Ovis aries: one gene and its partners. The protein of the gene in region 1 purifies or fractionates together with the protein of each later gene. This does not show direct contact. Links are inferred from orthologs where the notes say so. Each region holds a gene or a part of one and is shown in the gene's direction. Other genes may lie near its edges.

Region 1 (3,981 bases):
TGCCTTGTTTGGTTTAAACAGTTCTTATCATTTGAAGAATTAAGAAACAACAACAATCCAGAAGACTGCCTCTCTTTTTCAGGGCAATTCCATGTCTTTGGGATGGAAATTTTGGATATTGCGCTGGTAAATTGTGATAATCAGATATACTGTTTATCAGTGCCAACAAGATGGCCTACAGACCTCCTTCTCACCTCCTCTTGCTGCTTAATTCCAATTTCTATTTCTTCCCTTATAGTTTTCTATGGGTATGGAATATACACAGGACACCCTATCTCTTCCAATTATATATTTTCATTGTGACATTTCTATTTAAGGAGTTCATTAAAGCACAATATTTATACACGCCGCTGGCATTGTTTGTGTCTGATTAAAGGAACCTTAGGTAAGGGAGTGGTGGGAGAGGAGGGAAAGGAATGTGACCCACGAAGGGACGGTACCGACCATATTACTGCTAAGGAAGTAAGGGGCTGGGCTGCGTGAGGCGCTGCAGGATTCACAATTTAAGGTCCTCTCTTCCGTGTAGACAGGGCAAAGGCACGCCCAGAGGTTGCTGGAGTTCAGGGTGTGCTCTGAAGGCCTCGGCCTCGGCCTCGGCCTCGGCCTCTGGGCTTCAGTATCAAACCCCCGTAAACTTCGGTACCACCCCACCTCCGAACCTCAGGTTCCCCTCCTATGCAGTGACTAGGCGAGCTCAGACATTCCACAATTCCTTCCCTGAGGAAAAAGGAAATACCTCAAGCTCAGGCCTGGGCTGTGAGGCCGCGTCTGTTCAAGGACTGCGGGTTGGGATGGACGGTTCTCCCCACGCCTTGCGTTGAGCGGTTCCTCTGTACACCCTTCTAAGGGGGAAAAAAAGGCTACAAAACACATGAAAACTAAAGTTTTGTTCTCCCAGCTTCTGAAGTGACAGTTTCGGGAGCAGTGTGACCCTTTAACTTCTAGCACTGCCTTAAAAGAGACAGAACGTTTCCTTTTCACTTTCCCCGCCGCGTCCGCTCATAGTAGCACTTCTGCACGGGAGCGTGGACCGAAGCGCACCGCTACTTCAGCCGCTTCCAGTCTCAGCGTCTCCTAAGATGGCCGAGGCCGCTTCCGGCTCCTCCCCTGCCGCGGCCCCGCCCACCACCTCACGTCAGCCTTCGCCTCGGAAGCGGAAGTAGTGACTGAGGTCAGGGGGCGGGATCGCTGCCTGGAGACGGCGGGAGCGCTTTCGCCATGGCTGCCGGGCCGATCTCCGAGCGAAACCAGGGTGACTGGAGGGGACAGACCCAGAATGGACTCTGGGGGTTTGAGGGACCTCGACTAGGCCCAGCAATGTTTCCGCTGGGGCGGGAGATTTTGCCTTTCCGAAGGGCGCCAGACTGGTCCCGATGCCTTATGGGGACGGGATGGACAGACTTGAGGCCTATAGTTGTGATGCTGTGTCCAGTCCTCTGCTGCCTTCCCACTCAAAAAAAAAAAAAAGAAAAAGAAAAGTTACAGAGTGAACTTGCACCGTCACTCTAAATTAGACATAAGATTGTCTATTTTCTGGAAAGGAGGAGCTTCTAAAAGCTTAATCTAACATCTTTTTGTTTTTTCGCTTTTCTACCCCATCTCCACGTCCACTTCCTCCGCCTGGGTTCCATCTTCATGTTCCCGTTACCTCCCTATTTCCCCTCATCTCTGTCCTTACCTCTTAATCCTGTCTTCCAGATGCCACTGTGTACGTGGGGGGCCTCGATGAGAAGGTTAGCGAACCACTGCTGTGGGAACTATTTCTCCAGGCAGGACCAGTAGTGAACACGCACATGCCAAAGGATAGAGTCACTGGTCAGCACCAAGGTGAGTACACGGCAAAAAGTACAGTTATCTATGAAAGGGACAGACTGCTCCTGGAGGTCTCCAGTGATATTAAGTTTTGGAGTGAGCAAACTAAAGATTTTGTTTCTGGAACCATTCTCAATTGAAGTTGGGATTATTATTTCTTATCCTTTGTGCTTTAGAAGACAAATGAGTTATAAACTCGTTTTTAAATCACTTCAGTTGCTAACCTCTTCTTTTCCACTTCCCCAGGCTATGGCTTTGTGGAATTCTTGAGTGAGGAAGATGCTGACTATGCCATTAAGATCATGAACATGATCAAACTCTATGGGAAGCCAATACGGGTGAACAAGGCATCAGCTCACAACAAAAACCTGGATGTGGGGGCCAACATTTTTATTGGGAACCTGGACCCGGAGATTGATGAGAAGTTGCTTTATGATACTTTTAGCGCCTTTGGGGTCATCTTACAAACCCCCAAGATTATGCGGGACCCTGACACAGGCAACTCCAAAGGTTATGCCTTTATTAATTTTGCTTCATTTGATGCTTCGGATGCAGCGATTGAGGCCATGAATGGGCAGTACCTCTGTAACCGCCCAATCACTGTGTCCTACGCATTCAAGAAGGACTCCAAGGGTGAGCGCCATGGCTCAGCCGCTGAAAGACTTCTGGCAGCACAGAACCCACTCTCCCAGGCTGACCGCCCTCATCAGCTATTTGCAGATGCACCCCCTCCACCATCTGCTCCCAATCCTGTGGTATCATCATTGGGATCTGGGCTTCCTCCACCAGGTAAAGCTTTTGATAAAAAATGTTTGTGTTGGGTTGGGAAGGGTGGGGCCAGGAAGAAGGAAAAATAACCTGGCAAGGAGAGGACATTGAGTCATTAGGTGATGAGAAAGGGGTTGAGGGATGATGATTGTGGTGGGAAGAAAGTTGTTGAGTTTTCTCCAGAAGGTTGTTGTTCAAGTCACTTAATGTTGCCGCTGACTTCAGAGAGCTGGGAGGAGGGGAAAAGAGCTCATTCGGCCTGGAGAGGCCAGGGTGGAACAGGCTCTCTAAAGGCACTCTCTGCTCACTATCATTAACTGTTTTTCCATTTTCTCTATAGGCATGCCTCCTCCTGGCTCCTTCCCACCTCCAGTACCACCTCCTGGAGCCCTTCCTCCTGGGATACCCCCAGCCATGCCACCACCACCTATGCCTCCTGGGGCTGGAGGACATGGTCCCCCATCAGCGGGAACCCCAGGGGCTGGACATCCTGGACACGGACACTCACATCCTCACCCATTCCCACCTGGTGGGATGCCCCATCCAGGTGAGCGTTCTTTGCTGGGAAGGAGAGGGATGAGCTTGATGGAGGAGCTCTGTCAGCACTTAATGCTGCTGTTCTTTGTCCTTTAACAATAATAGATAGTGCCCAAGCTCTCCTTTCTTTCAGACATTCTTTTAGGAAAAAAATGCAAGATACTTTACCGTTTATTTTAACAACCATCATGCTGTCTTCATTTCTTGTTTAAGTTTTACCAAAGAGAACAACAGGCTCTCTGCATTGGTTCTTTACCACTAGCGCCACCTGGGAAGCCCAGGCTCTCCTATCCTCATTATTTCACACCTAATTTATTTTAGTAATACCCTAACTGACACTTTGACTCTAATTATCTCTACTTTGATTGACTATCTCAGAGTAATTTTTCTTAAATACAGATATTCACACACCTTTGCTCAAAATTCTTCTGGTTGTTCCTTTTTACTTACAGAGTGAAACCCAAACTCGCTATCATAGCATTCTAGGCTTTGCATAATCTGGCTCCTGCCTGTTACTCCCATGACTACAAGCTGTTCTACTGGGTTTCCTTTAACATACTGTGCTGTTGATCACATCCATGCTTTGCACCTGCTGATTTTTTTCTGCCTGGAATGTTCTTTTCCCACTCTGTTGTCCACCTGAAAAATTCCTGTTCATCCTTTAGAATTAGATCTTTGCTGTGACAGTGTCTCTGTTATCTTCCCAGATTCTATTCAGTAGAATAATCACGCCATTCTGCAGCACTGTTACAATGCCTAAATCATGGAAGGAGCAAATGGGCTTCAGGGACTGGGGAGCTGTAGGGTAGTTGGTTGATTTATTCTCTTGGGATGGAGTCAAAGATAAGGGCACTTTTTACCAGC
Region 2 (3,500 bases), on another chromosome or scaffold:
CACTTGGTTCCCCACAAGGGAACTTTTCTGAGGATTCTTAGTCATTTAACATTTTTTCCCACAAATTCGTCACCTAATTTTTTCTTGCTGCATCTAATCAAGAACTGGTTAATCATCTTCTGTTATTGTATATTGACTCCAGAACCTATAATATCACCCCCAAATTTAATCAGTTAACGTTTTCCTTCTTGCTACATAGCCAATTTTTAGTTGTAAAGTATTCCCATCAGGTAAGTGTATGGTGATTTACACACCCATTTCCTAACTGTAGGACCAGTAACCCTTTTAGGGAGCACCTTTTGAGAGAGCTTTCTGTGCATTTAAAATTTTCTTAGGATAGATTTCCAGAGGTGACTTTAGGAGATCATTCCCTTTCCTGGACGGTTTATTTATTGCCAAGTTGTCCCTGGCAGAGTTGTATCACCTGCAGCGTGTGAGCATTTGAGTTTTTCCACCCTCTGCAGTGGGTATTAACTGTCAAGCTGGTAAAATGAAGCAAGCCCTTTATTCTTTATGGCATTTAGAGCAGGATGGCTCATTGTTGAACTTAGCAGGGTTCACACAGTAAAAGTTGTTTGCTGTCAGATTTTAAATGACAGAGAATTAACCTTCATGCTGACAGTTTGTTCTCTGAGTTGGAACTTTGTGATGGTAGTGTTAAATAAATTGAGTTGCTGATTGTTAGCTTCTCTTGTCTTAATAATAACTGAATGGAAATGTTGTTCAGGTGCTTTTGTGTTTTAGAAATGTCTTTTATTTGCATACAAATGAATGCCTTCCCTTTGGGAGCCTTGCAGTAAATAGATTTGTGTCAGATTTCCAGTGACAGGGCCTGGGAGGTGATGACAGTTATTTTTCTAATTTTGTTTATTCAACAAATCAAAGTGGTTTTTTGTTTTTAATTGTAAGGAGACCATGAAGTGTTTGTTTTATCAATATGATGAGAAAATGTCATCCACATTGTAATTCAGTGCACAGGGTAATCCAGGAGTTGTTAGATTTAGGTCCGTTGATACTGAGCATAAGCTCTCTGTGTCATGCCTGCTTTGTGTTCATATGTAAAATACATTTTGCAAACAGCCGTCCTGCCTTTGGCAGTGCTGGGCACGCTTCTCCCGACAGTTCCAGAGTCGGAGCTTCGGGACCTTGACCTGCACTCATTTGGGTGTCTGTGGGGACCAGGAAAGGCATCGTATTTTTACAGACAATAAGGGGGTGTCATGCTAGAGAAACAAACAGAAGAAAGTACGAAGATGTAGGAACCTGAGACCATGCAGTGGGTCAGGGCTTACGAGAACCACGGAGATCAAGACCACCAGCCCAGGGCAAAGCCCCCTTTTTATCTTGGGTTTCTAGTGCACTGTTAGCCTTTTGTTCTTTTTCCTCTCAAAGAGCAGTTTGTAAATGTACAAAAGAGAAATGCAAAAACCTGACTTAGTGGACTTTAAAAAATGAACCATGTTGTGAAGGGAATTACATGCCCTGTTCAGACTCAGGGTCTGAGATGCAGCGGCCTTGGGAGGCTGTGGACTCCAGAGCATTCAGAGCCCAGGAGGCAGCTTTCTACTTTTCTTTCCTCTTTTTTTTGAGAGTCTTAATATGTCATGTCTCCATGTAATCAAAATCTGAGATTATTATATTAAATGACTGCAAGAACATGTTATTCATGACTTGTTTTGTATTTTAAGTTTTTATATATATATAAAAATAGAAGTATTCTATATTTACTCTGAAAAGTCAAATTTATTGCTTAAAATTTTGGGTGATGGCAGCTTTTTTTAAGAAAATGCTGTAGGGTGTTTATGGAATTGATCCTGAACTGAGAGGTGAACTCCCGTGCTCTGCTGCTCCTGGGCTGGGCGCCTGAACAGGTCAAGTCTCCTAGCCTCCTCGGGCATCTGCTCCCTCATCTGTGAACAGAAGTGGACAGGTGGTCCTCGGGGCCCTGCATGGTCCTTGACCTTAATTCTGTGAATAAAACTCCAAGACAGAGGGTGATACTTACTTTGGCATTTTCCCTTCCTCAGGACCCTGTTCCCAGCGGGTTTTCTGCAGGAGAAGTTTTGATCCCCTTAGCTGATGAATATGATCCCATGTTTCCTAACGATTATGAGAAAGTAGTGAAGCGCCAAAGAGAGGAGCGACAGAGGCAGCGGGAGCTGGAAAGACAGAAGGAAATAGAAGAGAGAGAGAAGTAAGGCCTCGTGCAAGTGTGGGATGGGGTTATGTTTGAAATGTTCATTCAGATGTTACGAGAACTTTAGTGCTGTCTGTGGACTGAGTGGGTTTTGTGGTTGGTCTGAACAGTCCTCAGGAGTCAGACTGTTGTTAAGAGTGTGTGGTTGTTACATCCCATCATGGAAACAAACTCCAGAGCAAGTTCAAGTACACACGCAGAAAACTTAGAACATGCATTTTGAGTGAGTTTTTAGAAAAATAGCTTACAAACTGATGTGGAATAATAGGTTTTGCTTTTTTGCCCCCTATGTTCTGACTCTACTAGAGTCATACTGCTTAAAATACTTAAAATGTTTTTCTCACCTTTTACTATTTTTGAGCCAGATAGAGTTTTTAAGAACTCATAACATCTTTTATGTTTTTCGAAAGTATGGGTAACAGATTTATTTGCATTTCTTCTTTTAAAAATGCTGAGTATTAATTTTTAAATGATTATATAAAACATTAATATACTATTTCTCATTATTTATTGACTTATTTCATGAAGTGAAAGCATGCTCTAGAGAATCGAAATTATTTCATTAACTCTTACCTGTGTTGATTCGCTTTAGTGTTGAAAGAGGTAAAATATCAAGGAAACTCTTTTCTTGCTATTTATATGCATATACCTGTTAAATTTGTTCAGTTTATCTTCTGGGTTTTTCTCACTTGTCACACGTTGGCTGCTTTAGTCTTTAATCAGTTGTTTGCATATCCCCGACGCCCCCCTAAAGTCAAGGTGACATCCTTGGGTTCACATCTCTGAATTGTTCCTTCTGTTATCACAGGAGGCGTAAAGACAGACATGAAGCTAGTGGGTTTTCCAGGCGACCCGATCCAGATTCTGATGAGGATGAAGATTATGAGCGAGAGAGGAGGAAAAGAAGTAATGCCTGAGCATGGGTGTCCTGTTTGGGATGTGCAGTTCTGCCCTTTCCTTCTGCATTCAGTTTGATAACTAGTTCAGCTGCAGTGGTTTGGGTAGTTTCCTGTCTGGAATCTCGGCAGAAGCCCACATCTGTATGGGGTTTCCCTTCGTTGTGTTCACAGATGGTCTCCCTAACATTCACGTTGTGGGCCTTGGAGCACGCCTTAAGCTGCATGCCTGTGCTCGCCCCCGTCCGTAGCACAGCCGTGCCCACCTGCTCTCTGTCCGTCTGCACTCTGATTCATAGCACTGAGTGGAGAGTCTGCGCTCGTGTTCAGAACCCTTGCCACCCACATGCATGGCTGCGCTTCCCTGGACGCTGGCTTCTGGCAGAGTTGCCAGCGGGGCAGGGAGA
Region 3 (3,500 bases), on another chromosome or scaffold:
CATCACACACACACACACACAACACACACACACACACACACACACACACACACACGGAGTTCTCACATCCCAGACCCCATAGTAGCACAGCTAATAACACACACACACTCCTTTTTTCTCTTTCCCTGTCACTTTTACAACCAAAAATGTCCATAGATTTCCAGATACTGGTAAGGGTGACTGACGTGTCAACTCTGACTGAGAACTTGTTTCAGGATTTTCGTTTTTGAAAGTTTTCCCAGTTTTAGGGCACTTTTTGTTGAGGTGGAGTGGGGGTGTGGTTGCTAAATCTGGTTTGAGCATGGTCAGAAGGTGCACAGGCACAGGGTCAGCCTGGGGTGTGACAAATCTGATCCATATTAGTGTATTTCCACCTCACACTTGCTGCATAAGTATCACTTAGGATTGTCAGGGGTCAGGGTACACATGGGCTCCATTTCTCACCCAGTTAACATGCTTGCAGTTAGGGGCATAAGTGACCAAGGGAAAAGATCATTGTGGTGAGACTCACACTGTCCCCACAGTGTGAATGTGGCATCACTGACACAGTCAGAAATTCGGGACATCATCCTGGGGATGGAGATCTCAGCGCCATCACAGCAGCGGCAGCAGATCGCTGAGATTGAGAAGCAGACGAAGGAACAGTCGCAGCTCACTGCAACCCAGACTCGCACTGTCAACAAGCATGGCGACGAAATAATCACCTCCACCACTAGCAACTACGAGACCCAGACTTTCTCTTCTAAGACTGAATGGAGGGTCAGGTAGTGCATAGGGCAAGACGGGTGGGGATGGGAAGGCCTGCTGGTGCCGCATGAAGTGCTTGAGTTGAAAAATGCCAACATTCCCTGCCTGTTGTTAGGGCCATCTCTGCTGCCAACCTGCACCTAAGGACCAATCACATCTATGTTTCATCTGATGACATCAAGGAGACTGGGTACACCTATATCCTTCCCAAGAATGTGCTTAAGAAGTTTATCTGCATATCTGACCTTCGGGCCCAAGTGAGTATGTTTGTCCATCTAGGCCACAGTGTGTGCTAAGCATTTATGAGCCTAAAACTCACCTGAGATTTCCTGGAACTGGAGGTGATGGTTTTGAAATTCATGGATGAGTAAAGTATATGTAAGGATAGCCGAAACAGGGAGGAAGGTTTTGGCCCCCACCAGATACCAAAGCATTATAAAGCTATGGCAATTGAGAGGAGGATGTGTGATTGGCCTAGAAGTTATTGGAAAGAAGTATCATATAGTCAGAAACAGATTCATGTGTATACAGTAAATCAGGTGTATCACTTGAGGATTCCACTCCATCTGTGGGATGAAGTGTGTTTTATGACATTGAAATAATCAGCAAAGGGAGACTTGATCCCTACTCCATAGCACTTAGAGAAGCAAATCCAGGTGGAATGAAAATCTGGATGTGAAATACTAAACACTAGTTATTAGAAGAAAGTATTTATTGTCTTAGTGATGGAATAATCTTAAATAAGATATACAGCACAAAACCATCATCAAAATGATTAACTTGTGTGTGACAAAGAGTACCACAAAAGACAAAAACAGGAAGAAATAAAAGATAACTAGAAGATTGGGCAAAGAAGGTAGTTTTGAAGAGAAACCGAGGGTGGAAAAAGTGCTGCGGAGTGCTGGGTTTAAAGATGTGCACTGCTTGTTGAATGCCTGATCTGTGTGCTCATGTGCTCATTTGTTTATGGATACTGTGCTTAAATACTTAAATAATCAACTGGGGAATGTGTGAGCAATGCCGATTCCTGGACCCCACTCAAGATTCTGATGTGATTAAGTCTGAGATGAGGTCCATGTTTAACATTTTGAATAAGTACTCCCAGGCTTTTTTGATGTAGGAGATTCTGGCCACATTTTGGGGAACTCTGACCTTGTTCCTGGAGAAGGGAATTAAGCTGGTTCTAAGAATCTCTTTGGTTTCTGACCCCCTTGTCTCCAGATTGCAGGATACCTGTATGGGGTGAGCCCACCAGATAACCCCCAGGTGAAGGAGATCCGCTGCATCGTGATGGTACCACAGTGGGGCACTCACCAGACTGTGCACCTGCCTGGCCAGCTGCCCCAGCATGAGTACCTCAAGGTTAGTGGAGGAAGTGGGAGAGCTGCGGCATCCTGCTCTCAGGGTGGTGGAGGGAAGGCAGAGGTTTTACTCTCATGGGTGGGATTTCTGGGCCCTAAAGAGCTTTCCACTACTCTTCCTATAGGAGATGGAACCCTTAGGTTGGATCCATACTCAGCCCAACGAGTCTCCCCAGCTGTCACCCCAGGATGTCACCACCCATGCTAAGATCATGGCTGACAACCCATCTTGGGATGGCGAGAAGACCATTATCATCACCTGCAGGTGGGCTTGAGCCCCCTTGGGAGGAAGGGTGATGGGAGGCATTGTGGGCCAGGGCCCAGAATGGTGGCCTGAGCTCTGACTCTGTCCTCATTTCTCTTCCAGCTTCACACCAGGCTCCTGCACCCTGACAGCCTACAAGCTGACCCCCAGTGGCTATGAATGGGGCCGCCAGAACACAGACAAGGGCAACAACCCCAAAGGCTACCTACCCTCGCACTACGAGAGGGTCCAGATGCTATTGTCAGACCGTTTCCTTGGCTTCTTTATGGTCCCTGCCCAGTCCTCATGGAACTACAACTTCATGGGTGCGTGGGGCAGGGTGTGGGCTGAGGGCAGGGGTGCACAGGAAAGTGGGGATGAGGTTAGGCCACCGCCCTTAGCACTTGGGCCCAGATTCTGGTTTAGAGATGGCCCAGGGACCCAGGCTGGGTGAGGCAGGTGGACCTTGCCAACGTTGGCCTCTTCCTTCTCCTCCAAGGTGTCCGGCATGATCCCAACATGAAGTACGAGCTGCAGCTGGCAAATCCCAAAGAGTTCTACCACGAGGTGCACCGGCCCTCCCACTTCCTCAACTTCGCTCTCCTGCAGGAGGGCGAGGTCTACTCTGCGGACCGAGAGGACCTCTATGCGTAGTCGTCTCCTCACCTCTTGCTCCAGCCTTCTGGTCAAGGCTAGAGCCTGTGGCCCCACAGACAAGCTGGTGACATTCAGCAGCTTGGCCCCTTCTTCTCTCTTCTGTGCTTGTGATGTTGTTGACCTCCTGGTGACTTGTAATTGTGAAAAAGTATAATAATAAATTTTGTATAAATAGGAGGTTTTGAAGCTTTTTTTCCCCTGAGCTCAGATTCTGGATGTAGGGATGGCAGAAGCCAGACATGTTCTCTGCAAGCTGCTGGACTGAGCCTTGAGTCCCCCTGTTTGGAGCTGTGGGGATAAATATCCTCTAAGCTCAGTGAGCTGAAGGGAAGTTGGGCTTTCACACCCCTGCTGCTATGACCACATTTGCCAGTTTTACCCCAAATACTTGTAAACGCTCACCGCTTTTCAGCATCTCTTGGAGCAGTCACTATTTTGAGTGTAGAAGCTCCTGGCTTGTTCTCTGTAGCTGCAGAGCCCAGCTTAGCCCC

What was found.
Region 2: the proteins of SF3B4 (region 1) and RBM17 purify together in Homo sapiens (affinity purification with mass spectrometry; 4 studies listed by BioGRID and IntAct, with this or other methods). This does not show direct contact. The link is inferred for Ovis aries from reciprocal best matches to the Homo sapiens genes SF3B4 and RBM17.
Region 3: the proteins of SF3B4 (region 1) and PRPF8 purify together in Homo sapiens (affinity purification with mass spectrometry; 4 studies listed by BioGRID and IntAct, with this or other methods). This does not show direct contact. The link is inferred for Ovis aries from reciprocal best matches to the Homo sapiens genes SF3B4 and PRPF8.

The regions. Positions count from the first base shown.
Region 1 is NC_056054.1:100,033,289-100,037,269, reverse strand, and holds the start of SF3B4 (splicing factor 3B subunit 4), read left to right. Parts: upstream 1-1,181; 5' UTR 1,182-1,218; coding exon 1,219-1,252; intron 1,253-1,698; coding exon 1,699-1,827; intron 1,828-2,058; coding exon 2,059-2,601; intron 2,602-2,920; coding exon 2,921-3,127; intron 3,128-3,981. UniProt on the Homo sapiens protein: Component of the 17S U2 SnRNP complex of the spliceosome, a large ribonucleoprotein complex that removes introns from transcribed pre-mRNAs.
Region 2 is NC_056066.1:10,888,321-10,891,820, forward strand, and holds part of RBM17 (splicing factor 45), read left to right. Parts: intron 1-2,027; coding exon 2,028-2,194; intron 2,195-3,005; coding exon 3,006-3,103; intron 3,104-3,500. UniProt on the Homo sapiens protein: Splice factor that binds to the single-stranded 3'AG at the exon/intron border and promotes its utilization in the second catalytic step. Involved in the regulation of alternative splicing and the utilization of cryptic splice sites.
Region 3 is NC_056064.1:22,647,802-22,651,301, reverse strand, and holds the end of PRPF8 (pre-mRNA-processing-splicing factor 8), read left to right. Parts: intron 1-524; coding exon 525-764; intron 765-862; coding exon 863-1,004; intron 1,005-1,968; coding exon 1,969-2,109; intron 2,110-2,233; coding exon 2,234-2,373; intron 2,374-2,475; coding exon 2,476-2,678; intron 2,679-2,851; coding exon 2,852-3,006; 3' UTR 3,007-3,186; downstream 3,187-3,500. UniProt on the Homo sapiens protein: Plays a role in pre-mRNA splicing as core component of precatalytic, catalytic and postcatalytic spliceosomal complexes, both of the predominant U2-type spliceosome and the minor U12-type spliceosome.